Linked DNA regions of Struthio camelus. The protein of the gene in region 1 interacts with the protein of each later gene in a biochemical or structural test. Links are inferred from orthologs where the notes say so. Each region holds a gene or a part of one and is shown in the gene's direction. Other genes may lie near its edges.

Region 1 (7,782 bases):
GAGGCTGTTGGATCACCCTTAGCCAGGGCTCCAGTCCAGCCTCCCAGAGGTCATCGCTGAGGGAAGTTTACTGGGAACCAGCAGGATTTGCAGCTCTTTCTGGCTTTCCTTTCCTGATCCTTACAGGTTTGGGGCCATGCCAGGGGCAGAGAAGTTCATCCCTATGTTGAAAACACAGATGCCACAGGGCTCTTGCAGGTCAGGGGCTGTGACTCTAGGAAGGTGTTATCTGCATGTTCCCTTGGCCTCTTGTCCTGTCTTCCTCCACGAGGTGCACGTGGAGTGTAGTAATGGTCTGTTCTTGTTTAGGTCTCATCTACAAGCTTCCTTTAGGGTTGAAACTTCCTAGAGTTCATGAGAGGGCATCTGTCCGTTGGATGTAGGTGCCTGTCCCTGTGCCAGGTAGAGGGATGTGACTCTGGAACTGAAGAAGCCAACTGTTGCCCCACCAGCAGCAGCTGTACGGATGCATGGCTAGAGCCGAAGGCCTGGCCCGGGGTTCAGGAGATGTGCTATGCCCCATTTGCACAGCATTTCTGGAGCGCGACAAGACCAGAGGAACACCTCTGTAGGGGAGGAACACCTTGCAACAACCGCTCAGGACTGCTCCTGTCTCAGCATACAGCTCCCCTTGCGAAATGATAGCTAAATCTGACACCATCATCATCTCAGCTCCCTTGTTTAGCCAGGCATTTCGTTTAGAGCCTCCTGGAGGCAGGGAAGCAGTTGACCTGCTAAACTCTTTCCTGTTGCAAGTAGCTAGATTATTATTTGGTTGGCTCTGAGCAGAAGTGCTGGGATTCTTTGACCTGAGCCTTTAAATGAATGGACAGTGTGTTTGTAAGATTAGCAGTGGCAAAGAAATGAAACAAAACCTCCCGTTCAATTAAAAGGCAGGACTGAAGCTCCGTTGCTCAGTTTTCAAGAAGCTCTTAGGCTAAGCATTGATAAAAGCGAACCAAAGCCCAACAAATCAAACATGAGAGGCTGCATTTCACAGAGAGCAAAAAGTGCAGAGCCGTCACCAGCAACGCACCAGATCCCCAGGGAACAGGGATAAGTGGTGCAGGCCGGTATCCCCAGCTGACAGGACTCAAGACAAATCCCAGAGCGGCAGAGAGAAGCTGAGAAGTCATTTTGCCTTCCAGGGGATGTTGGATCATGTTTCACATCAGCCGGTCAGGGGATCAGGGGCTGCATTTCCCAAGCCAAGAAATCCAGTGTGCTGGTGGGAAGGAGAGGGTAGCAGACATTTCTTTAAGCCCACGTGAGTGTCCCACAGCCCAGAATTGGTGGAAGATGCTCCAGTACCAGTAGTCTCTCCCTCTAAGGAGCTTTGTCCAAAGGATGCAGAGGACCCTGAGACTCTCTGGATTTGGTCCAAAGCACAAGAGATGGAAGGGAAGTCTTTATTCCACACCAACCACTACAGGTGCATGGGCCAGCCAGCATGGGCTGCTGCAGAGGCTGTCCTTTGGGACTAGCCCTTGGTTTTGGACTTTACCTTCCCAGCTATTTACCCGAGACTTTATGTGGAGAAAGGGAAGGCTCCTTCCTACCACCGATTTTTAATCTATCACCCCCTGCATCAGCTTGCTCTGAGGTGTCTCTTAACCAGGGTGTTCCCACTGAGTTTAGTGAGAACATTTGAGAAGTCCTTTGAACTTCAGACACAAAGGAGATGGTAGAAACGTTCCCTGGAGCTATTATCAGCTGACGTCTGGGAGCTTGGCAGAGCTCTGGTGTCAACGAGACAAGCAGTTGAAAGAAGAGGAGGTGGGAAGCCCAAGACACCTGCAATTTGGTTGACAAATATTTATTTGGAAGTGACAACTGCTCTTTCGGATGAAACAGAGCTAGCAGAAGAGGGATTGCAAGGGAGTGACAGGGTGTTATTTTTTTTAAAGGTTTACCGTGGGGATGTTGAAACGAACAGCTGATGAACCAAAGGGTGTCGAAACGCGCGTTGACTTCCCGGCGCAGGCTGTGGGGGCACGTGACGTCACGCGACGAAGTCACACGTCCCGTCTCCCCTCATCGCAGCGCGGGGAGGGGCCGCGGGAAGGTTTTGCAAGCAGCTGCCCAGCGTGAAATGAATGAGCAGGAGGCATCTGGGCGTGCTGGGCAAGAGGAGCGCTCGCGGCCGGGAGGCCCTACATTAATCCATCCCTAGGCTCTGGGGTCACAGCTCTTATTGGTAAGATGTGAAGGGATGGATTAGGAGCCAGGGAGGACACAACAGCCCTGCGATCAGGATATGTTATGGATGACAAAAAGGCCAAAGTTTAATTGTTCTCTTAAAAAGGAGAGGAGAAGCGAGGGGAGGGGGAAGTGGCTCGGGGCTGAAGGAGCTCTCTGGCGCGTGGTTTCCAGGTGTAACGCTGATGGGCTGTTTAACCTCGCTGGGTCTTGGGGCTCTGATTGACGATTTCATGGTGCTTTGAGCCGGGGACAGGGTGGATCAGCCGAGGCAGTAACCTTGTCAGCCCTCCCCAGCTGAGCGGTCCTGCTCCTGTGCGGGAAACGGGCCGCGCTGCTTCAGTGTCTCCCCTGGTTGCTCTGGTTTTGCCTCAAGATATTTGGTCTGGAGAAGAGAAGTGGGACATGCTGGATGTCAGACCTGCGTACAAAGGGCTTGTCTGGGCATGGGGGCTGCCGCGGGATGCAGGCAGCAGGGACAAGCGGGCTTGGCTCGCGCGCGGTCCTTCCTGCCCCTCACCTCTTCTTCCACTCCCTCCTTCCTCTTTGAAAGCCTTCCTCAATGTCTAAGCTTGGGATCCACTGCTGTCATTTAAACCTAGAAACAAGGCACAGCCTTTTAGGTGCTTGAAGTCAGGTGCCACGCTGCTGTTAGGATTGGAGTTTTGCATTTCCCCGGGGCGGGCGGGGAGCTGGTGCCCGTGACCTAAGTCCCTGTCCCAAAGGTGCCAGCACCGCTTAAGCTGATGCTGGGTCCTTTACTGCCAATGTATACAAGGTTTAGAGATGACAAATCAGGCCATATCCGTGAGTCAGGCGGTTCTGCGGCAGTGTCTCCCGGCTCTGGGGGACGCGGTTGTTGGCGGTGCTGAGATGCAGCGGGATGCTGGGCAGCTCCCGGCACCGAACCCCCTGGGCTCTGCCTTGTCCGTAGCTCTCCTGCTGCTCAGTTCCTTGCAAGGCGCGTGCTGCTAACGGGCCGGTCCGCGTGGCACGGCAGGACTTTGCTGTGCTGCTGCGGCCCGGGGCGCTCTGCGGGTCTGGGGTTGGCCGTGCCTCGGTCGTGTCTCTCTCCAGGCTGCAAGCCCAGGTGGATGAGTGATGCTGGGAGCTGGTTTTCCTGCTGCGAAGCCTTCCCTGAGGCTGTCGCCTTCGCTGCCCCCGATCCTTGGCCTTTGTGCAGAGGCCTAGGTTGAGCCAAGCGCTTGAGGTCTGAGCTCTCCGGGACGCTGACTGCCGGCAGCAGCTCTGCAGGGGCTCTTGGCGCCCCGTGGTTCTCCCTGTGCCGCCTCGGAGAGAGGAACCGCCTCTTCCCCCTGCCTCCCCTTGCTTGTGTTTGCTGCGGCCACATGTGGAAATGGGTTCAGTGAAATCAAACCTCAGAAAATCTCCCAGCCCAGTCGCCGGCTTTGCAGCCGTGGGGGTGGTCGGAGGAGGTTTTACTGCTCCAGCAACGAGTTAGCTCCGTTGGGGAACCAAGCAGGCAGGCTGTGCAGGAGCAGGAGAGGAGAGGACGTCCCTTCTCCTCCCGTGGGGTCGGCCGCGGCCCCCGCGGGCCCCCCGCTCGCTGGGGAGCTTGCAGAGGCAGGAGGGGGAGGGAGCCTGCAGCCTGGGAGATTAATAATAGAAACGCTGGCATCCGTTTTAGATTAGCGAGAGAAAGCTCAGTACCCGTCTCACCCAGCCTGCAACTTTAATGCTGAGATAATGAGCAATGATATTTATTTGTAAAAGATCTTGAGATAACACCGCCCAGAGCGCAGCCCGTCGCCGACAGGCGCTGGGCTCGTCCCCGCAGCTGCTCTCCGAGCTGTAACCCCGGAGCCGTCTCCTCCGACCGGCTCGCTTTGCGTTACGCGAGCAAGGCTGGAAGCGCGCCTTGGAGCCAGGGCTAAGGTTTGCGAAAGCTGCGGAGTGATTTGGGCGGGCTGAGCCGGGAGGCCTCCTTGCAGAACGGCCTCGAAACGTCCCCCTCCACCTGCAGATGCTGCAAATTGGGCCGCCGGGCAGCGGCGGTGCCAGAGTCGGGCCCCCGCCGGGACGAGCCAGGCCCGCCGGCAGCGTCTGGGGCTGTGAACTTGCACCTGGGGCAAGCTCTGCCCACGAGCTCTGCGCGGCCTCCCCGCTGCTTTCCTCTCTTTCGCCTGTCCGGGGTTCGAAACAGGCCGCGTATGACTCGAGGAGGGCCCTGGCAGGAAGGATGTGGCATTGAGCGAGGAGGTGACACGAAATGAGCCAAGGTGGCGAGGGGAGGGTGGCACCGAGCGCCTGCCGAGGGACGCGGAGCCCCCGCTTCCGTAAACAGCAGACACCCAGCCCACTGCGCCGGCTGAGATTTTGGGGCCGTTTCGGAGAGTTCGGTGGCGGGTAGCCCTTCCCAGTGTCCGTGCAGGCTCCTGCTGGGCTTGCTCTCCTCCCGGCCGGGTCGGTGCCAGGCAGAGCGTGGCAGGGGCAGACCTTGGTCCCCTGCTGTGGCGAGGGAGCCGGGTCTCTCCGGTGTCAGTGCTCCCTCGATACCCCCCCCGCCAAGGTTGTTTTCCGATTCCCTCCCTCCGGCTGCCCAACTGGCTGGGCTGGTCCGAGGGAGCGAAAGGATGCGCACACAGACATGCCCGGCGTTGTGTTGTGCAACCGAGAAGGAGCCAGGCTTAAGTTTTATTTGGCAGGTGGGTGTCCCGTCCTTATTAAACCATCCCCTGGGTAATTACGGGGTTAAGGCCTGATGAGATAATGCTTCATTATATTTGTGCTGCGGGGGGATTAGAGGCAGTGGGATTTCTCAAAGGCTTTATCTCTGCTAAAGTCCTTGAGCTGCCGGCACGTTTGCACGCTGGTAGGAGGGGTGTTGTCAGCCCTCCTGGTAGGGGGGCGTTCGGCGATGGCTTTTGGCTTTTCCCTTGGGTTAGTGGCGGGACTTTGGGAGCGTCGGAGGCTCGGGGCACCTGCTCGCGGTGCAGCAGGCCCGGCGTGAGCTGCCGCAGCGCAGGGGCAGATCCGCTGCCGGCACGTGGCCCGCGTGGCCGCCCGGGTATCGGCACGGCCACGCGGCGCGAGCCCGTCGCGTGCTGCAGGGCCGCTGTCCGTATCGCCGAGACGTCGCTCTCCCCCTCGTTTTCTGCTAGCGAGCCGGTGGCGTGGGGTGAGCCGGTGGCGGGGGCTGCGGCTCCGCGCGCACCTCCCGGCGGGCGCTTGCACGGCGCTGCCGGGAGCGATCTCCTTTTAATGCTGTTCCAGCCCTATTAATCAATGAGTTTCCCTTGCGGGCTCGGAGCCAAAGGGAGGAGAGGAGGTGACACGTACAAATAAACAAGAAGGTGGGTGGTGTGCTCGGCGGCGGGGAGCGGGAGGGCTTCCCAGGTGGCTTGTCCTGTGATTTATGGCCGGGACGATCCGGAGCCGTTAGCGCGGCCTTTGGAAGGTGTTTACTAACAGTGTCGTCTCCTGGCTGTTGCACCAGCGTGGGCTACTCGCGGGGAGTAAAAACATCCTCTGCAAACTGCTTCTGCGCCGAGACCAGCTCCAGGGCTGCTCCTACCCGTCGGGGAGCCCCGTCGGGGACGGGCTGCGGGCGCTGCAGGGACCGATGCTCGGCCCTTTCCCTGTGCCCTAGAGAAGTTCTTACGAAGGGGTTTGGGTTGCTGGAAGCAGCCAAAGGGTAAAACGTACTTTGTTAAACTCTCCGGATGTGCCGGGCTCTCCCGGCTGCGGCCCCCTCCTCGCTGGCACCCCTGGCGAGCCCGCGCGCGGCCGGCCCTGAGCCGGAGCGACGGAGCTGGCACCAGACCCGGGAAGCAGGCAGGCTGGACGCGGGCCAGGCTGCACACTTGATCCAAACACAGCTGGAGCTGATCTGATGAAGTGAGAGGTTAAGAAGAGAGCATCTGTTATCTAAAGGGGACACACAGTGGGAAACTGTAAGCTCTTTATTCCCCCCACCGCACACCCCCTCTGTTCAGTGCACCATCCCTGACTTGATTTCTTTGATTTATTAAGGAAGCCTATGCTTCCGGGGCTGTAATTAAGTGCCACTGTGTGAGCTTTTGATAGCGAGTGAATGATATAATGGCTTGCACATTCGCCGTCTGCTCAAGTGCTTTAGGATCTAGATAACACGAGGAGGGATTTCTTCTGCCTCGCAGTGAGCTGCAGCTGCTCCTGGGGTGAGTCACGGCAGGGTTTTAGCTGCGTGCAGCAGTGTCCACCAGAGGAAATAGAGAAGGATGCAGTAGCCACTTGAAACTGCGGTGGAAACACAGTTCAGGAGGGTATCAGTGACCCACGGTGGAGTTCAGTTAAGAAGGGAGTTCACATCCTTCCTCTTGCAAAGAATATCACGGCATCTCCGCTGGCCAGAGCAGGCTGCATTTGGTGCTGACTCTTGCAGGTGCCCTCATTCCCTCCTGGCCTTGCACGAGGGTAGATAGGGCTTGAGTTCCTGTAGCTTTGGAGAACGTTGTCACTGGGGGTTTGCTAGGGTCCTCCTGCGAGCTCTGGCCCACCTCTGTGCATGGACAGCATCACCGAGCTCTCGTGGCCCGCCTGGCTGAGCCAATAGCGTCCTGCCTGACGCTGCAGGTTTCCCTCTGTGCTCAGAGGAGCTTGCTGGCAATGCGCTGGTGCTGAGCCAAGTGCTGGGGACTGCCGCTGGCTGGGAGGAACCCGTGGAAAGTGTCTAGGTCTCACAGCCACTGGCAGCTGGAGGTGCTGTCAGGATTTAGCTGGAAATATTTCGTCTGCTGCACCCTGCTGCAATCTCTTGCACGCCACCTCAGCCCCCTACGAGAAGACATTTGCACAACCAAAGGGTCCAAGTAAGGGGTATCGTTTCTAGGTGGACAGAGAGAGACCTTCTACAGGCCCACAGTGTTATGGGGATGCAAAGGGAAGGGGCCTGCACTGCCTCTCCAACCAGGAGCCTGGGGTGAGTGGTGCAGTTTTCATTCCCCGTGGGCATCTCTCTCCCGCAGTCCAGGCTGTCCAACTTCAGGGGTCTGTGGCACCCTCAGCACCCAGGCCCGGGAGCTGCGGGCCACATCGGTATCTGATGTCAGTGGGTTTCCCCAGGGCTGAATCCTGCCCTGGGTTCCCAGGCCAACTGCTGAGCATGTCAGTGCCCAAGGAGCTCTGCTCTGACACACTAACCACTCAGTGAGCCTAGTTTTTAGGAAGAAATTATTTTCTTTCTAATATAAGGACCATTTTTGATGCATAAACAGGATTATTTTAATGGCTTGGCCAATGGCCACAGAAACGGAGAGCTGCGGGTTCGCAGCAGGCAGCCGCTGGGCTGCGGGCGCGCGTGCTCTCCCCCTCGGCCTCCCAGTCCGAGCTGTGCTGCCGAGTCTCCCGTCCAGCTCCCGCCAGGGTGTCACCGCTCACGCACCAGCAAGGCCGCTGCTTGCAGCGGTGTGGGTGGGAGGGGGAGGAGGAAGGGGTAAAAAACCCCTACGTGTAAATAAACTTAAAAATAAAAAGTGACAGAGATTATTTGCTGCTTAACGAACTAAAATGTCCAACCTCCCACCGAGCAGCAACATTGTTTATAAACTACAGAAAGGGCTTTATTTTAATGGGCAGTAAATC
Region 2 (7,632 bases), on another chromosome or scaffold:
CAAAACTGCATAGGCTTGTTGATTGAAGGCGCGATCTATCGTTCGTTGCACGTGCTGTAGAAGACAGGGAAACAGGCACAAACAGACTAAGATTATCAATAATATAATTAAGCCACTCTTCACAATGGTTAAAAACCACCTTGTGATCCCCCATCCTGAGAATACTCGTCCCAGCCAATCATTGTCGTCTAACCTCAACTTCGCTACGCTCTCTTTCAACCTCAGTATAGTGTCGTGAATTGGTTCCGAGTGATCTGACAAATTCATACAACACATTCCTTCCAAAATCTCACACCCGTGGCCATGCGCCAATAATAAAAAATCTATAGCTGCACGATTCTGCAATGTAGCATGTCTTATAGAATCAACATTGGTAAGCAGCCCTGACAGTGCCGTTGCAGTATTATTAGTCTGATTGGCAAGCCAACACCCTAATTTATTTAAGGCTGCTAAAGCATTTGCAGCAGCCACCCCAGGAGTAAAAATGGATGCCGTAATAATCTCTCCTGGGTTCCAGAAAGTAAGATAATCTCTACAATCTTTTTGAAAAAGATGTGTAGATCGTCTAGTGCGATTTTGTCGTTTTTGTAGAATCATTGTCGAATTGGGCAAATACATTCCCAATGTTCTTACGGTACACGGACCACCCGTGACGCGAGATGGGATTCCCTGCCAGGCACGATTGCTGCAGATCAAAAACACTCCTTGTGGTAATTTCAAAGGGTCGTTCCTGGATTTAGAAATGTTTGTACTAGTTACATTACACCATAAAGTTGTATTGCGATAAACAGCTAAAGTAGCATTAACAACAGTGATTCCCCTTTGAGAGGAATTTTGTCCTGTATAATTGAAATATATACATTGATCCATCTGCACAGAACCTAATAACTCTATTTCTTGTGGTTCCCCAGGTAACACCGGTAGGTAGGGCGTCCAACCATCCCAAACATCACCCCACCGACTACAGCCCGTTAGGGCGGCAGGGGTACCATTACAAACTTGATATACTTTTCCGTCTGTTGGAAGACCCACCAGACAAGTTTGAAAAGGGTTAGCAGCCGAAGCCACAGGCAGGCAAACAGTGTCCTGTCCTGTGGCATTGGCTATAGTTACCCAAAGATCAGGTCGTTCGGAGACAGAGGGCCACATCCCTTTGCCCACGTCCGTTGTTTCTCCAGACATAACACAAAAGCATATTATTGCAGGAAATAACATATTATTTCCCAGAACTACGCCACGACTTCTTCAGATTCTCCGCTACAAAATTGGCGTGGTACTTCATAGGGCTTAACACACCGAGCAGGGAACCAACGAGGCTGGGTACCTGTAGAAACACAAGCATAACCCCTCCCCCAAGTTATCAGAGAAAAAGGTCCTTTCCATTGGCCGGAGTCCAGATCACAGATCATAACTTGTGCCTGTCCTGAGGGAAGAAGATGTGAAAAAGAGTTAAGATGGGAGGCAACAGGGGTCTGCTCATCACGGACCCGATTCAAAAAGTTAAGGACATACAAGGCCTTTGCCACTCTCTCTTGAGGAGTCCCATACCCCTCGGTTTCCCCTTTTTGTTTAGAGAGCATCTGTTTCAAAGTACTATGGGCACGTTCAATTAAAGCTTGCCTGGTAGGGTTGTGTGGAATACCATTTAAATGTTGGATTCCCTAGGCTTGAAGAAAAGAACGAATTTTCACAGAGACATATGTGGGACCATTATCAGTCTTAATGGTATGAGGCACACCCGTAAAAGCAAAAGCTTGCGTCCAGTGAGCGCAGACACCCCAAGCGCGCTCTCTGCGATGAACACTGGCAAACAGTAAATTAGAATAGGTATCCAGAGAAACATGGACAAAGCAAAAAACACCAAAGTCCGGGATGTGAGTAATATCGGTCTGCCATTTGTTTTAATAGAATTGTTCGAGCTTCGGAATTATCCACTTGTCTTTCCAATGCAGTATGAAGGCGATTGACAAACTGCCTTTAGTTTTCAGTAGCACCCTGCTTGATCGTCTCAAATGACTTAGATCCTTTCCCATTTTCATCAGGGAGGTTTAACAATGCTCTTAATGCCTCTTCTTGACTTTGCGCCAGCGCCCCCCGGAGAATGCATAACTGCGCTGTATGTTCCCAATAGGGGCCTTCCCCCAAAAGTACCGCGGTGCCTACTCCATACAACGGATCTCCTGGCTGCCGATCCAAATTAGTCACAGCCGCTTGATCACAATTATTCCGCCATGCCTGCTGCCATAACATATACTGCGTGGGGGTCAACAAAAGCTGAGTCAGCGTACAACAGTCATTAGGTGTTAAAATCATATTATTAAAACCCGATTGTATCAAGCCCCATGCATAGGGAGAGGCAAGCCCAGAGCCTTTGATACTTTTTCAAAGTTCTTTTATTAAGACAAAAGGAAAACCTTCCCAAGTGGGGGCTTGACCTTCGCGCAGGAGGACAGGCATTGTGACGGCTTGAAGGCACTCAAGGTCTCCTTCCGCCAATGCCTGGGCTCGCGCTTCTTTCCATCGATCTACTGGAGGTACAGGCGTAACAACCGGCGTTGATATAACAGGTTCAGGAGTTTGCGGAGGAAATAGATCTGGTTCTTTCTTAGGGTCTACAGGGCCAGGATCCAATGGCTCCGCAGGTTCACTGCTCCGCATAGGAGGAGCAGAAGGCGTTTTAGCTGCCTTCTGCATACTTTCTTGGTGATTCTGATCTAATGCATTAAATACAAGTCACCAAGTAGTTAAGAAGGAAGGGGCGACGGGATCATCCGAGGCTGCAGCATGCCACAAACACACCCCAATGGTATCCCAAGTCCCCTTACTATATATATTACTCGTATTAGCTTCGTCAACATGCGCTGCAATCCAAATTGAAAGCTCCTTTTTCTTCCTTTACAGTTACTCGCCGTTTCTCTAAAAAACGCTGCATAACCTTGTACACAGATTTATATTCTGATGATACAGAATTCCCCATGTTCCCAGCTGCTTACCTTCCGTGAAGGTAATGGTAACAAATGCTGCGCAGCCTCTATCGAGTTCAGCTGGGCTCCCCACCGGATTTCACTCTTCAAGTCCCTGTTTGGGCACCATTTGTGGGGATGAAGACACGAACCTTGCGTATGGTGAAGCAAGATTATTTATTTCACATTTCGTCCTCTCTTGCATACCGGACCCTTATTATGTAAGAATACAGCTGTGTTTACTGATTACACTTGCTTTGCTACATTAATAAAAGCCGCGTTCTGCACTAAGATTATCTTCCCTCTCTCACGTCCTTGCCCTAGTTTCAATATCTGCATTCTGATGGCTCACGGGCACCTGTCCGTCTTGGCACTGACACGAGTCTTCATATTATGCGCGCTTTCCCAGGGCTTCTGGCACTGAGGGAATACTTTGTTGCTCCTCCTAATCGTCTTCTGGTACGCATCGCCCCCCCGACAGCAGAGCTGTCGAAGAGTTTGCATCAGTTTACTGTTGACTTGTGACCAACACTCAAGCAGTTATTTTACGTCTGCATGTTTTCTTAAGTAGCAGAAGGGGGATGAGCATTTATTTCAATAAAATGTTGAGTCTAAATCAGATTTTACAGTTTACTTTTTACTGATTGCCTCTCAACTTCAGAGAGTTATTACACCCGCAAATGGCTGTGTGGACAAAACATGCCAAACTGACCAAGTGCCAACATTTACACAGACAACCCACACATAAAATGAGGGACAAAAACAACCTCTTTAGTGACTTCTGAAGGGAGGGCAAAACCCTCTGCCCCAAATTGAGTCTGGAGGACGTGGGGACATGGCTGCCCATTTGGCCCCGGTGCCAAGCGGCTCGGCCGCCCGCGTGTTGACACGCACACCGCAGCCCGGCGGAGGGTGAGGCGAGGGAGCAGCGCCGGATTGTCCCTCCTGGTGTGACGCCTCACGCGCCGGGCCCCTCACCGAAAGGACAAGGTGGCCATTTGAGGTCGGGGGTGAGCAGATAGGGGGCTTGGGCTCGCTGAGCTCACTCAGCTTGCGCTGAGCGGGGCAGGACGCCCCTAAGGCGGGATGTGTGGCTCGGGGCGGGGTGGGGGGATGGGGTGAGGGGTGGCAGAAGGCCCCAGGGGAGGTGGGTAGCCCTAGGGCCGCCCAGGGGTGCGAAGGCGGGAAGGGCCGCGCCAACCGTCCGCGCAGGGGGCGGGGCCTGGCGAGCGGGTCCGTTGGGGTTCGGCGGGGGCGGGAGAAGCGCTCGGCGCACGTAGCCCGGCAGGGGGCGGGGCCGAGGGGGCGGGGCGCTGTGGCGAGGCGCGGCGGCGGCGGCGGCGGGGCCGAGACCGCGGGCCGGGCGGGCGGGAGGGGGCGGGGCCCCGTGGTGTGGTGGGAGGGGGGAAAGGGAGGCGGGGCGGTGGCGCGGGAGGGGAGGGGGCGGGGCCTGGGCGGCCGTTGGCCATGTTGCGCGGCGGGTGCAGCCCTCGCCCGGGTTAGGAACACAAACAGCGCGGCCCGCGCTCGGGGGCGGGGGTCGGCGCGGCGCCGCGGGCGGGCGGACGGGTGGGCAGGCAGGGAGGCAGCGGCAGCGAGGGCAGCGGGGCCGCCCCGCCTCCCCTCAGCGCTCCGGCGGCGGCTGGTGCAGGACAATGGAAGAGGCGGCGGTGGCGGCGGCGGCAGCAGCAGCGGTGGTGGTGGCGGCGGCGGCGGCGGCGGCGCCCTGCCCGGCGGATCGGGCGGCGGCGCTGAGCGGGGAGAACGAGGCCGAGAGCCGGCAGGGCCCGGCGGAGCGCGGGGGCGAGGCGGCCCCGCTCAACCTGTTGGACACTTGCGGCGTGTGCGGCCAGCCCATCCAGAGCCGGCGGCCCAAGCTGCTGCCCTGCCTCCACTCCGTCTGCCTCCGCTGCCTGCCGCAGCCCGACCGCTACCTCATGCTGCCCCCCGCCATCCCCTCCCCGGCCGCCGGCGTCCCCAAGGAGCCGCCGCCCGCGCCCCCTTCCTCGCCGGGCTCGTCGCCCGCCTCGCCGCTGCGCTGCACGCCCGGTAAGTGGCCCATCTGCCCTCGCCCCCGGCCTCGCGGGGGTTAGCGCCTCGCGACAGGGCGAGGCGCTGTCGCGACGGGAGTTTGGGCAGCGCGGGGCGGGGGGGAAGGGCGGGGTGGCGGGCGCGGGCAGGTGCCGGGGCGCGGAGGGCTCCGCGGGGGGCTTTGTGCCCAGCCTTCCCCCCCCCCCCGCGGCGCCAGTGGGGGCGCTTGGGATTTTGATTTTTTTTTTTCTTTTTAATTTTTGTGTTTAAATCTCCCTCTTCGCTCGGGAAAGCGATATATCTGCACTTCCTCAGGACCTCGCTGTGTGGGTGGAGGGGAGCGGCGGCCGGGCTCCCCGCCCCCCGCAGCGCGGGACCGTTGTGGGGCGCCGCTACCCCCCCCCCCCACCGCCCCCGCGGGGGCTTCTGCGTGCTGGAGGGATTTCCTTCGCCCCGTTTCCGAGAGAAAAAAAAAATCTTAATACGGGATGCTGTGGGGAGCGCAGAGCAGAAGAACGTACCGGTTGATAGCCAGGATCCTAACCGACTTTTTGAGTAATGTTTCTGGGCTGGTAATTTGGGAGGATGGTGCCGCAGAGGTCAGCGAGAGGGACGCCCTGCAGGTGTCATCCCTTTTTACAGGGGGCTTAGCCGGAGGGAGGGTTCAAACACTTAGACGGTAGGAAGCAGGAGCGAGCGTTAACACTTGACACTGTCCACGTGATTGGTAGACTGGGTAGAGCTGGTAATGCATTTATTTACAAGTTGCTTAACTGTCACTTTGAAAGGAGAACGCCTTGAGGAAGTTTTGGAGAGCACGTGTTCTGAAGCAGTGGCTTGAGTGGATGTATTTAAAAAGCATTTTGCTGTAGAGGATATCTATGGTAAACTACTGCAAGCTGAAGTTACTTTTGTGATGTTCCCTTCTAGCTGTCTTTGATTTAGCGAGTTGCTTTATTTTGTTGAGTGCAAGTTCGTCTTGGAAGAACGTGCAAGCAAGTATCCTCTAGCAGAAATGGGTGAAGATCCTGGAGTTTTTTGCATGGAAAAGAGAAGTGATTCAAATCGAGCTTCTCCTTAGGAATTCATGGATAGTGGTAGTTTGCTTACAGGGAAGTATAGTGGGAGGGTCAAGGGAGAAATCAAACATGAAGAGAACAGTAACTCCCGATAAGTTATCCTTGGGTGAGTGTTGGCCGTTGTCCTTTGGGCATATTTCAGAACTGCAGATTGGAAGCTTTTCCCATGCTGCCAGTAGTTCTGCCCAGAAGGACCACAACTTGAACGTGCAAAAGTTATTTAGCTAGCTTACAACCATTGCGATTCATAGAGGTATACCTTGAGAGAAAGGAGTCTTTGAGACAATTGGGAGAGACAACTTGCTTCAGAGTATCTGAGATCGGGCCTGGTTAGTTTTTTATTAGCCTGATATGCTGAGCCTCTTTATCTACATGGATGTCTGTGTTGTGTAGGAATTTTTTTGTTTGTTTTAAATAATACTTCTCAATAGTCTTTAATATTAGTATGCAGTTCGTGTAGTAGTCAAACTGCCTAGCCAGAGATTCCAGAATGGGAAAATCTGTAAGACCCAAACCCAGTGCATTTAAACTTGGCTGGCATGTGAGGTGTATTGCTCATGGTAAGTCTAGGAGTAAAAGAATTGTGAAATCCTGCTTAAGAAGAACTGAAAAGCACAAAGTGTGGTCGATGATAGGATATTTGAAGATGAAATGCTTGGAAATGAGAAAGAGGGCAGAGAAGCAGCTAGCTGCTGTTGTGATGTAGGCTCAGAGATCATATAATCACTTTCTCATGAGTTTTGAGTCATAAAGGGCATAGCTCAATTCACAGATGTCCTGTTTATATATAGCAGAACTAGAGGTCTGTAGCTGGGGTAAGAAACAAGATCCATTGTAAGAAGAAAAGGTTGGTGTTGTTCAAAGATCTAGTGAAGAGAGGACAAATGGTAGAGATGGCGGGGGAGACGGAGAAAAATAGAACTACCAATTTACTATTGCCACCTCGCTCATTATTCTGTCTATATGAGTTGGAACAGTGGGAATGAATAATACAGTGTATGTACTTCCGTGTTCTACAAATTTACAGATGTAACATGTTCAGTGACGTTATTTTTACCCTATCATCATCTTTTGCTAGTTACTTGCATGCTTCCATGCTATTTTTCATCCTCCAGTAGAAAGGAGGAACTTCTATTGAACTCACACTCTCCTTGACAGATTACTTAGGTCTTCTGCTGTCACTGTTTTGGTCTTGTTGAAATGGCAATGGATTGTATGCTAGCTAACTAAAGTTTGACTTGATAATGTGCACTAGCTGTTTTGTTTTCCAACTGATATCAAACAGTTGTAAACTCAGTTTAGGATTTAAGAAATGGTGTCACTGTTTACAACTGATTATACTGAGGAGAAATGTGTTACGATGGGAGGAGTTCCTAAATTCTCAGAAAGCAGGAGGGACAAAACAGTGCAAAACTGTCATCTCTTCTGGTAATGTGCTGTGTGAGGTATTTGAAGAACAAACTGGAGGAATAAACCAAAGAACATAGGCTTAGAAAGTTGGACAGTGAATGCATCTCATGATGTAAATTATAAAATACTGTAACACTAAGTAAGGGACA
Region 3 (6,995 bases), on another chromosome or scaffold:
AGGCGAAAAAGAAAACAACAAAGGGGAGGAAGGAGAGAGAGCTTTGTGGTTAAAGTGCTGAACTGCACAGCCTCAGCACACCTAGGCTGAGGTCCACTCATGTTTCCACTGTGACCCTGGAGGAACTGTGCATGATCTTTATATTGCTTTTCGTCACTTCCCCTTCTCGACCAGGGAGCTCCTAATCCTATCTTTCCCTCAGTCTTTGTCGGCCATCTCTCGAAATTGCAGGCTTTTTGAGACATGGACTGTCCTTTGCTATTTGTATCTGTAGCGTCTAAAAAAATGAGACTGTAACCTCAGTTGGTCTCTCTGTAAGGGTTTATATTACATGCGAAAAATAGTAAACAGCCAGAGAGAAAAAGAAGAATGTAACTGCAGGTGAGACAATCTAAGCAGTCTAGAGGTGAAAGGAACAGAGGCAGACTGCTCTGAAGCAGAAGTCTCCATTGCAGTATGAAGAAAGTATCTGATCAGCAAAGGAAAGGGAAAGCTGAAGCAAACATGATGCTAGAAACAGGACCTCCTTGAGATGGAGAGAAACCTGATGTGAAGAAAATATAATAGTAGAGACATTGTGTGAAAAAAGCGGTATCAGGGATGCAAATGTGAGTGGCACACTGGAACTGGAACAGAGCAGATAGTTTGTTCTTAGTATCTCTGTACAATAGAGCTGGGTGATGAAAGGGCTAATTTCCTTCCCAATCTGCTTTTTGCAAAATAATGTGATTTGTATTTCATTTGTCCCCTGCCTCCCCACCTTAAAAAATATCCTTGTCTCTAACACACTACTGAATTAATTCTAGCAGGAGAGAAAATTCAGGAGGCAATGTAACCAACATAGAAAATGTATTATAGGCACAAAAAGTAGAGCACAACAAAGGATCTCTGCAGGAGCTAGGAACTAGGAGATATCTGAAAAAAACAAAACAAAACAAAAACCAAAAAAAAAAAAACAGACACAGACATATTGCTGAGCTTTAAAAGATTTCAAAATAAATTTGTACCCTTTACAGTTGTGTTCATTTTGAACACTGCTGTTTTTTGGTGCCAGAAAATATTTTTAAAGCAAAATCCCTGAGAAAAATGATTCTGCGAGGTAGACAAGTCCGTTCAGAGAACAAAAACACACAATGTCCTGCAAGGGGCTCACTGCTTTGGCTCTGTTTTAGCAAAGCACGTAAGCATGTTCTTAACTGCAAGTATGAGAACAGCCTCATTGTCTGCAGGTGAATAACTCCTCAGAGCTACAACCTAAATATTTTTGTGAAATGAGGCTAGAGTGCTCGGCTTCTCTTACGTTAAGCTTTGTATCATTTTTGTGTCCAATTAGCTCAAATTTCAAATATTCCCAACAAGCTCCTCATGAATAAGATGCCAGAAGAAGTTTGTAGAAATCACAAGCTGTTTGCAGACAATTCACAACTGAAGTAGAGGTAAAATTTATCTGATAAATTATTCATCGCAAATGATTTGGCTGGCTTTCCTGGATATATAGCCATGGGGATGTATGACACCTTGGGGAAGGCATCAGACAGAGATATGTTCAAACTAAACTAGAGAAGAGGATGCAGATGTAGATCTAGAGCAATCTTTAAAAAGGGAGGGGAGCAGATACGTGCCGAAATGGGATGGAGTTCTCCTCTTTATAGCCAGTCCATTAGAAACACAGCATCCGTTAGTAACTACTGGTTACCAGAAAAAATGGTAACACATGGGTTTGCAGAGAGCTATTCTTTGGCAGCTGTGGGGTGCAGCTAACTGGGCAGAAGCTGAGTGAGAGCAAGGACTAAATCAGGTGTGCGAGTGGGAGCAAATTCTCCCTGAGAAGAGGCTGCTATCAGGGAGGAGGTTCCTAGGAAGTAGCCTGCAGGAGTGAGACGAGTCTAAGGGTGAGATGGGAAGATACGGGGGAGAATATTCAGCGTCGGCAGGATTAGAGCTGTGCAGAGTCTTAATCTAGCTAGCCCTTTCTCTACACCTTTATCTGTCGTGGTGCAGCCACTGCGTGCAGCAGGGCTGGTATAACCTGGCCATAAAACTGGATTAACTGGCCTGCGAGGATCACGCCTGAACAGAAGAGCAGCATGACAATATGCTGTTGTTTACATTTTCACTTCTGTGAGTTTAAAAATAGATCTTCTGAAAGACAAAGTGCTTAATTACTGGCATGGAGTATCATCAAATGAATGTGTAAGTATAGAATTACAGTGTTAGGGAAAGGTCTCTGCTGTTTCATAGCACAGTCCATTTCCACTGGTGTTTTCTGCAGTATTGGGAGGTTATTTTATGATATGGAAGAATCCTCCATTATCAGAGAAAATTATTTTTAAATAAAAATGTGCAAATTACCTTTCTGATTGAGCCTGCACAGAGAAACCCTGCTGTCTCCCTCCCTCAGCCTTTCCTTTTTGGCTCTTCTAGCGACTGCCTCTGATACAAGTCATAATTTTCTCCAGCAAAGCAAGCAACGGTGGATTCTTGCCACTTCTCTGATTTCACAAGGTTTTAAGCCCCTCAAGAAAGTCTGGCTTGGACTCTGACGCATTGGAGTTAATGAGTCTTGGAAAACGGTAGACTAAGTTCTTAATGAAAACTATCCTATATCTTCTATTCCCTTTTTTTTTTTTATCATTATACAAATGTACATTACCAAGCTCAGGAATAATATATATTTATGCAATCTAACGCTTAAAAATATTAGCATGTTTTATTATTGCTCTGCCTAATTTGTCAAGTATAAGCAACACTTTGTTTCTTTAGCCTATTTAGCTTATTGCTTGTGCTGATTTGGAAGTTTTGAACCTAAAGCTGATTTTATTTGTGGGTCCCTCTGCTCTCTTAGTGTTTGCTGTACACTCTTTTAAGGTGTGTGTTGGGGGGAAGCACAAAGCCTGACTCCCCTTTCCTTTTGGGTTAGTCAAATTTGATGCAGAGCGTGGAAGAGGAGAAAATACTCGTTTGAGAAAGACACCGCAGGAGCTTTGCGCTGCCCAGGACTAGGGATGCGTCAGGGAGGGCTTCTGAAGAGGAGACTCATCTCCTTGTCATGGCTCTTCTCTGAAGGAGTAACAGACCACGGACCACGGCTGACGCACCCCTCCTCGGCACAGCACTGAGGGTCCTGTTATTTCATTTCTTTGTATTCGATTCCTTTTTATTCACAGGGGATTAATTTTGCTTGCAGCTCGGGGAACTACCTGTCTGGCAGATAACAGTTATGACGGGTGTTTCCCCAGAACAGCTCTTCTTGAAATGCCGTTTCCAGCAGCCTCACGCTTATATTTGAACGTGTTTGCGTCCAGCCGCTCCTCTTTTATCTACCGTGATTAACTGTTTGTGCGGCTCCCGAAAGGCCCGGTGGCCGAACAGTTAATAAAAAACGGATGAGGCAGGGTGGGAGTTGTTCCCCGTTGCGGAGGGCGGCTCCTGCCTGGCGCCCGCGCTGTGCCCCCGGCCGGCGGCGCCGCGACGCCCTCTCCCCCGCTCTGCGCCATTCGCCGCCCGCCCGGCCCCCGCCAGCCCCAGTGCGCAGGCGCCGTGTCCCCCTTCCCTTCCCTTCCCCCCCCCCCCCCAAGCGCGGGGAGGCGGGGGGGGGGGGCTGAAGCGCTGGTGCGCGCGGCGCGGCGGTTTACACGTTAACGAGGCCTGGGCCAAAGGTGAAGGGAAGGGAATCCAGCGCCTGCGCGGTGGCGCGCGAAGCTGGGCCGGGGGGGGGGGGCGAGCGAGGTAGGCGCATGCGCGGCGGCTGTCGGGAAAGCGGCTGGGGCGGGCGGGAGAGGAGGAGGAGGAGAAAAGAGGGGGAAGAGAGGGGCGCGCGCAGGCGCAGAGCGAGGCAGCGGCGCGGCGAGTTGGCGGCTGCGCGGTAGGGGCGCGGGGGGGAGGGGGGTGAGCGGCGGCGGGGGGAGGGGAGGGGGAGGGGAGGAGGGAGCGAGGGAGGGTTTATCGGGCGGCCGATTTTGGTTAAAATATTCAAAATGGCGGACGGAGGAGCAGCGAGTCAAGATGAGAGTTCGGCGGCGGCGGTGGCGGCAGCGGCAGGTAATCATTACTGCATTTTACATATTCATATTCATACTCGCACACGCGGCCCCCCCGCCGCCCGCCCGCCCCGCTTAGCATAATTTATTAGTACTCAGGATTATTATAATTAACGGCACAGGAGGGAGCAAGGAGGGAGGGGGGGGGAAGAAGGAAAGCAGTTTCCCCGTGCGGGGAGACACACACACACGCGCGCACACAGACACACACACACAGACACACACACACACACACGCACACACAGCGGCACACACATACTCACACACGCTCCCTCCCTCGCACTCGCGCCCGCCCGGCCGGGCACCGGCGCCGGGGCAGGCGGCGGGGCCGTTGGGGGGCGGCGGCGCGGGCGGCGGCGGCGGCAACGGCAGCGCCGAGGCGGTGGGGTCGGGGGGGGGGGGTGAGGTGACGGCGCGGGGAGGGAGAGAGAGAGAGCGGCGGCAGCAGCAGGGGGGAGGAGGGGGCAGCGGGCAGCCCCGCACCAGAAAGCGGGCGGCGGCGGCGGCCAACCGGACTCCCCCCCCCCCACCCCAACCGCCGGCCCGCACGCCCACAATAAAAGCCGCTTTACATATTCATGGGGGGGGGGGGGGGAGAGACTGGGGCGGCCGCGCTGCGGGGTTTGGGATGGGGGGGGGGGGGGGAAGGCCGGCGGCGGCGGCCGCCTGCCGCTGCCCCCGAGCGGGGCAGGATCCGCCGCTGGGGCAGCGTGGAGGAAAGGGATGGAAGTGCGCGCCTGGCTTGGGGGTGAGGGGGAAAGGCTAGGGTTTCCCCCCCCCTTCCCCCCAGCTGAGGTTATTTCCCCAGAGCCTGAGGCCTGCAGGCGTGGGGTGGATGGGTGCGGATGGCCTCAAGGAGGGGGTAGGGCGAGAGAGAGCTGGGTTTGGATGTTATTTAAAGCTTCCCCCCTCTCCTCTCCTCCCCTCCCCCCCCCGCCAAGGGTAGGGTTCAACGTGGGGTGGCTCCTCTTGGCGGGGTGGCGGAGTTTCTCCGTGGCCCCCTCTCCGAGGCGAGAGGCAGGCTGTTTGCAGTGGGGCGGGCGCGATGTGCCCACCCAGTATTTGCCCTTCTGCCCCTTCAGACTCTCGGGGGCTGCGGGCGCCGCGGCCGGGGTGCCGGGAGAGCCGGCCGGCCGGCCGGCACGGGGGTGCGGGTCCTGCTTCTTTCTGCCTCTCTCCCTCTCTCTCTCTATCTCTCCTTCTCTTTCTCATTTGAATAATGTCTAATTCGGGGAGGTTTATATTATTGAAATGGCCGCCTGGCTTTCCCCGCCTCTCATGTTTAGTAATTCAGACCTTTAATAACAGCCACTCAGAGCCCAACGCCGTGTTTATATTTTACATTCGCCCCATGTGCTTTTGTGGTTCAATATGATTCTTCTTTCTCGCTCTCTTGCTTTTTTTAAATTTTCTTGGCAACCCACAGGGCCCCGAGATCAAACCCAGGCTGTGTGAGGAGAGGAGGGGGGAGAGCTAGGCCCTGGTTCCTCTGGCAGGCGCCTAGGCCTCACTCTGCCGCTTGATTTATTTACTAATAACCAAAATGACCCCCCCATCCCCACTCCACCCCTGCCAGCAAAAACAAAACCCTCCTGGGGCTTGAGCAGCATCAGATCTGCTCATAGATTCTCAAACACTCATGTCTTTTAAATAAGAAGCTTATTTTTAATTTATAGCAACTCAGGACTGTAAAGCTGTTCCTTTCATATCTGCTCTTCAGAGGCTTGGGCATTTTTGGTCCCTTTGTCCTTGATTCTTTTCCTTAAAGGAGAGTTGCTTCTAATTTACGTTTCCTGGCACTGAGAGAGCTATAGAAGACACACTCAAAATCTAAACAGCTTTCCTCCTTCCTGTGGACACAAACAGAATTGAATACATTGAAGATAATCTTATTCTCCTTTTTGCTTAGTGTGGATGCAGTTTAACAGTGCTGTGTGTCAGATGCTTTTGTCACTGCTTGTATCTTTGACCATTCTGAGTTTTTTTTTTTTATTTAGATTTGGCTTCCATGACAGAAGATGCTACTAGGCAGTACAGGGTCTAGAAAGCAAGATAAGTTTTTTTTTTTTTTTGTGTGTGTGTGTGTTTGTGTCATAAGTTCATCAAGTGAAAATTGAAATTAATCCTCTTAAATTGTCTGGAGTAATTCTGTTCTAAAGTAGATATTAGGCTACTTAGAAAACAGATGAACTACTTTTTTAGCAAGAGGCAGTAATTTTTTAAAATTCATTTATGCAGGTATGGCCTTCAGATAAAACTAGATTTTTTCATTAATGACCATTGTTTCCACCCTGTGGAGAAAAAGGACCTGACAGCAGGGTACTTTTAAAGTGGCTGTGCCAGATTAGCATGTAAACGTCTTTGAAGCATGACTAGGTAGAGAGTTCATATACATGTGCAGCCAACATATTTTGTAGTTTGGTTCTAAATTTAATTTGTTACAAAACACTAGATTGTAGCTAATGAAAAGCATTTTGATTTCAAAAATAACAACTCAGATTATTTTTCCTTTTTCTTCACCCTTGGTGAAGACAGGCCTTGAATACTATAAGAAAAGATCTGTAGAAGAGAGTAATGAGACTGTTCAGGTGACTGACTGTTTCACAGACCAGCAGCACAAGGCTGGCTGGACAAAAAGCAGTAATATGATTTCATGCCTTAAACAGCATATGTTTTTGCACTCGCTTCACAAGATGTGGTCAAGCCGATGATGTCATTGGCCAGAGGACAAGGTGCAGTTAATTTGATTTATTGACCTGGGGTGAGGTGTAGCACTGAAACCTTCTCATAGGGAAACCATTTATCTGAGGACAATTTCCTTTATAGCAGCAATTTAACCACTGCTGAGACTCTAGATGTTTTATCCAGCATGATAAAAATGTACATTGCATCTTGCAAACAAAATTTCATTCTCACTGACATTTTAGTAATTTTTATGGAATAGATTACTGGATA

The links. The genes of interacting proteins can lie anywhere in the genome.
Region 2: the proteins of RXRA (region 1) and TRIM24 form a complex in vitro, tested with the Homo sapiens proteins (3 studies listed by BioGRID). The link is inferred for Struthio camelus from reciprocal best matches to the Homo sapiens genes RXRA and TRIM24.
Region 3: the proteins of RXRA (region 1) and POU2F1 form a complex in vitro, tested with the Homo sapiens proteins (2 studies listed by BioGRID). The link is inferred for Struthio camelus from reciprocal best matches to the Homo sapiens genes RXRA and POU2F1.

What each region holds. Positions count from the first base shown.
Region 1 is NC_090961.1:4,501,550-4,509,331, reverse strand, and holds the start of RXRA (retinoic acid receptor RXR-alpha), read left to right. Parts: upstream 1-4,733; 5' UTR 4,734-4,807; coding exon 4,808-4,865; intron 4,866-7,782. UniProt on the Homo sapiens protein: Receptor for retinoic acid that acts as a transcription factor.
Region 2 is NC_090942.1:64,646,382-64,654,013, reverse strand, and holds the start of TRIM24 (transcription intermediary factor 1-alpha), read left to right. Parts: upstream 1-4,543; 5' UTR 4,544-4,618; coding exon 4,619-5,012; intron 5,013-7,632. UniProt on the Homo sapiens protein: Transcriptional coactivator that interacts with numerous nuclear receptors and coactivators and modulates the transcription of target genes.
Region 3 is NC_090942.1:105,798,350-105,805,344, reverse strand, and holds the start of POU2F1 (POU domain, class 2, transcription factor 1), read left to right. Parts: upstream 1-3,906; 5' UTR 3,907-3,977; coding exon 3,978-4,041; intron 4,042-6,995. UniProt on the Homo sapiens protein: Transcription factor that binds to the octamer motif (5'-ATTTGCAT-3') and activates the promoters of the genes for some small nuclear RNAs (snRNA) and of genes such as those for histone H2B and immunoglobulins.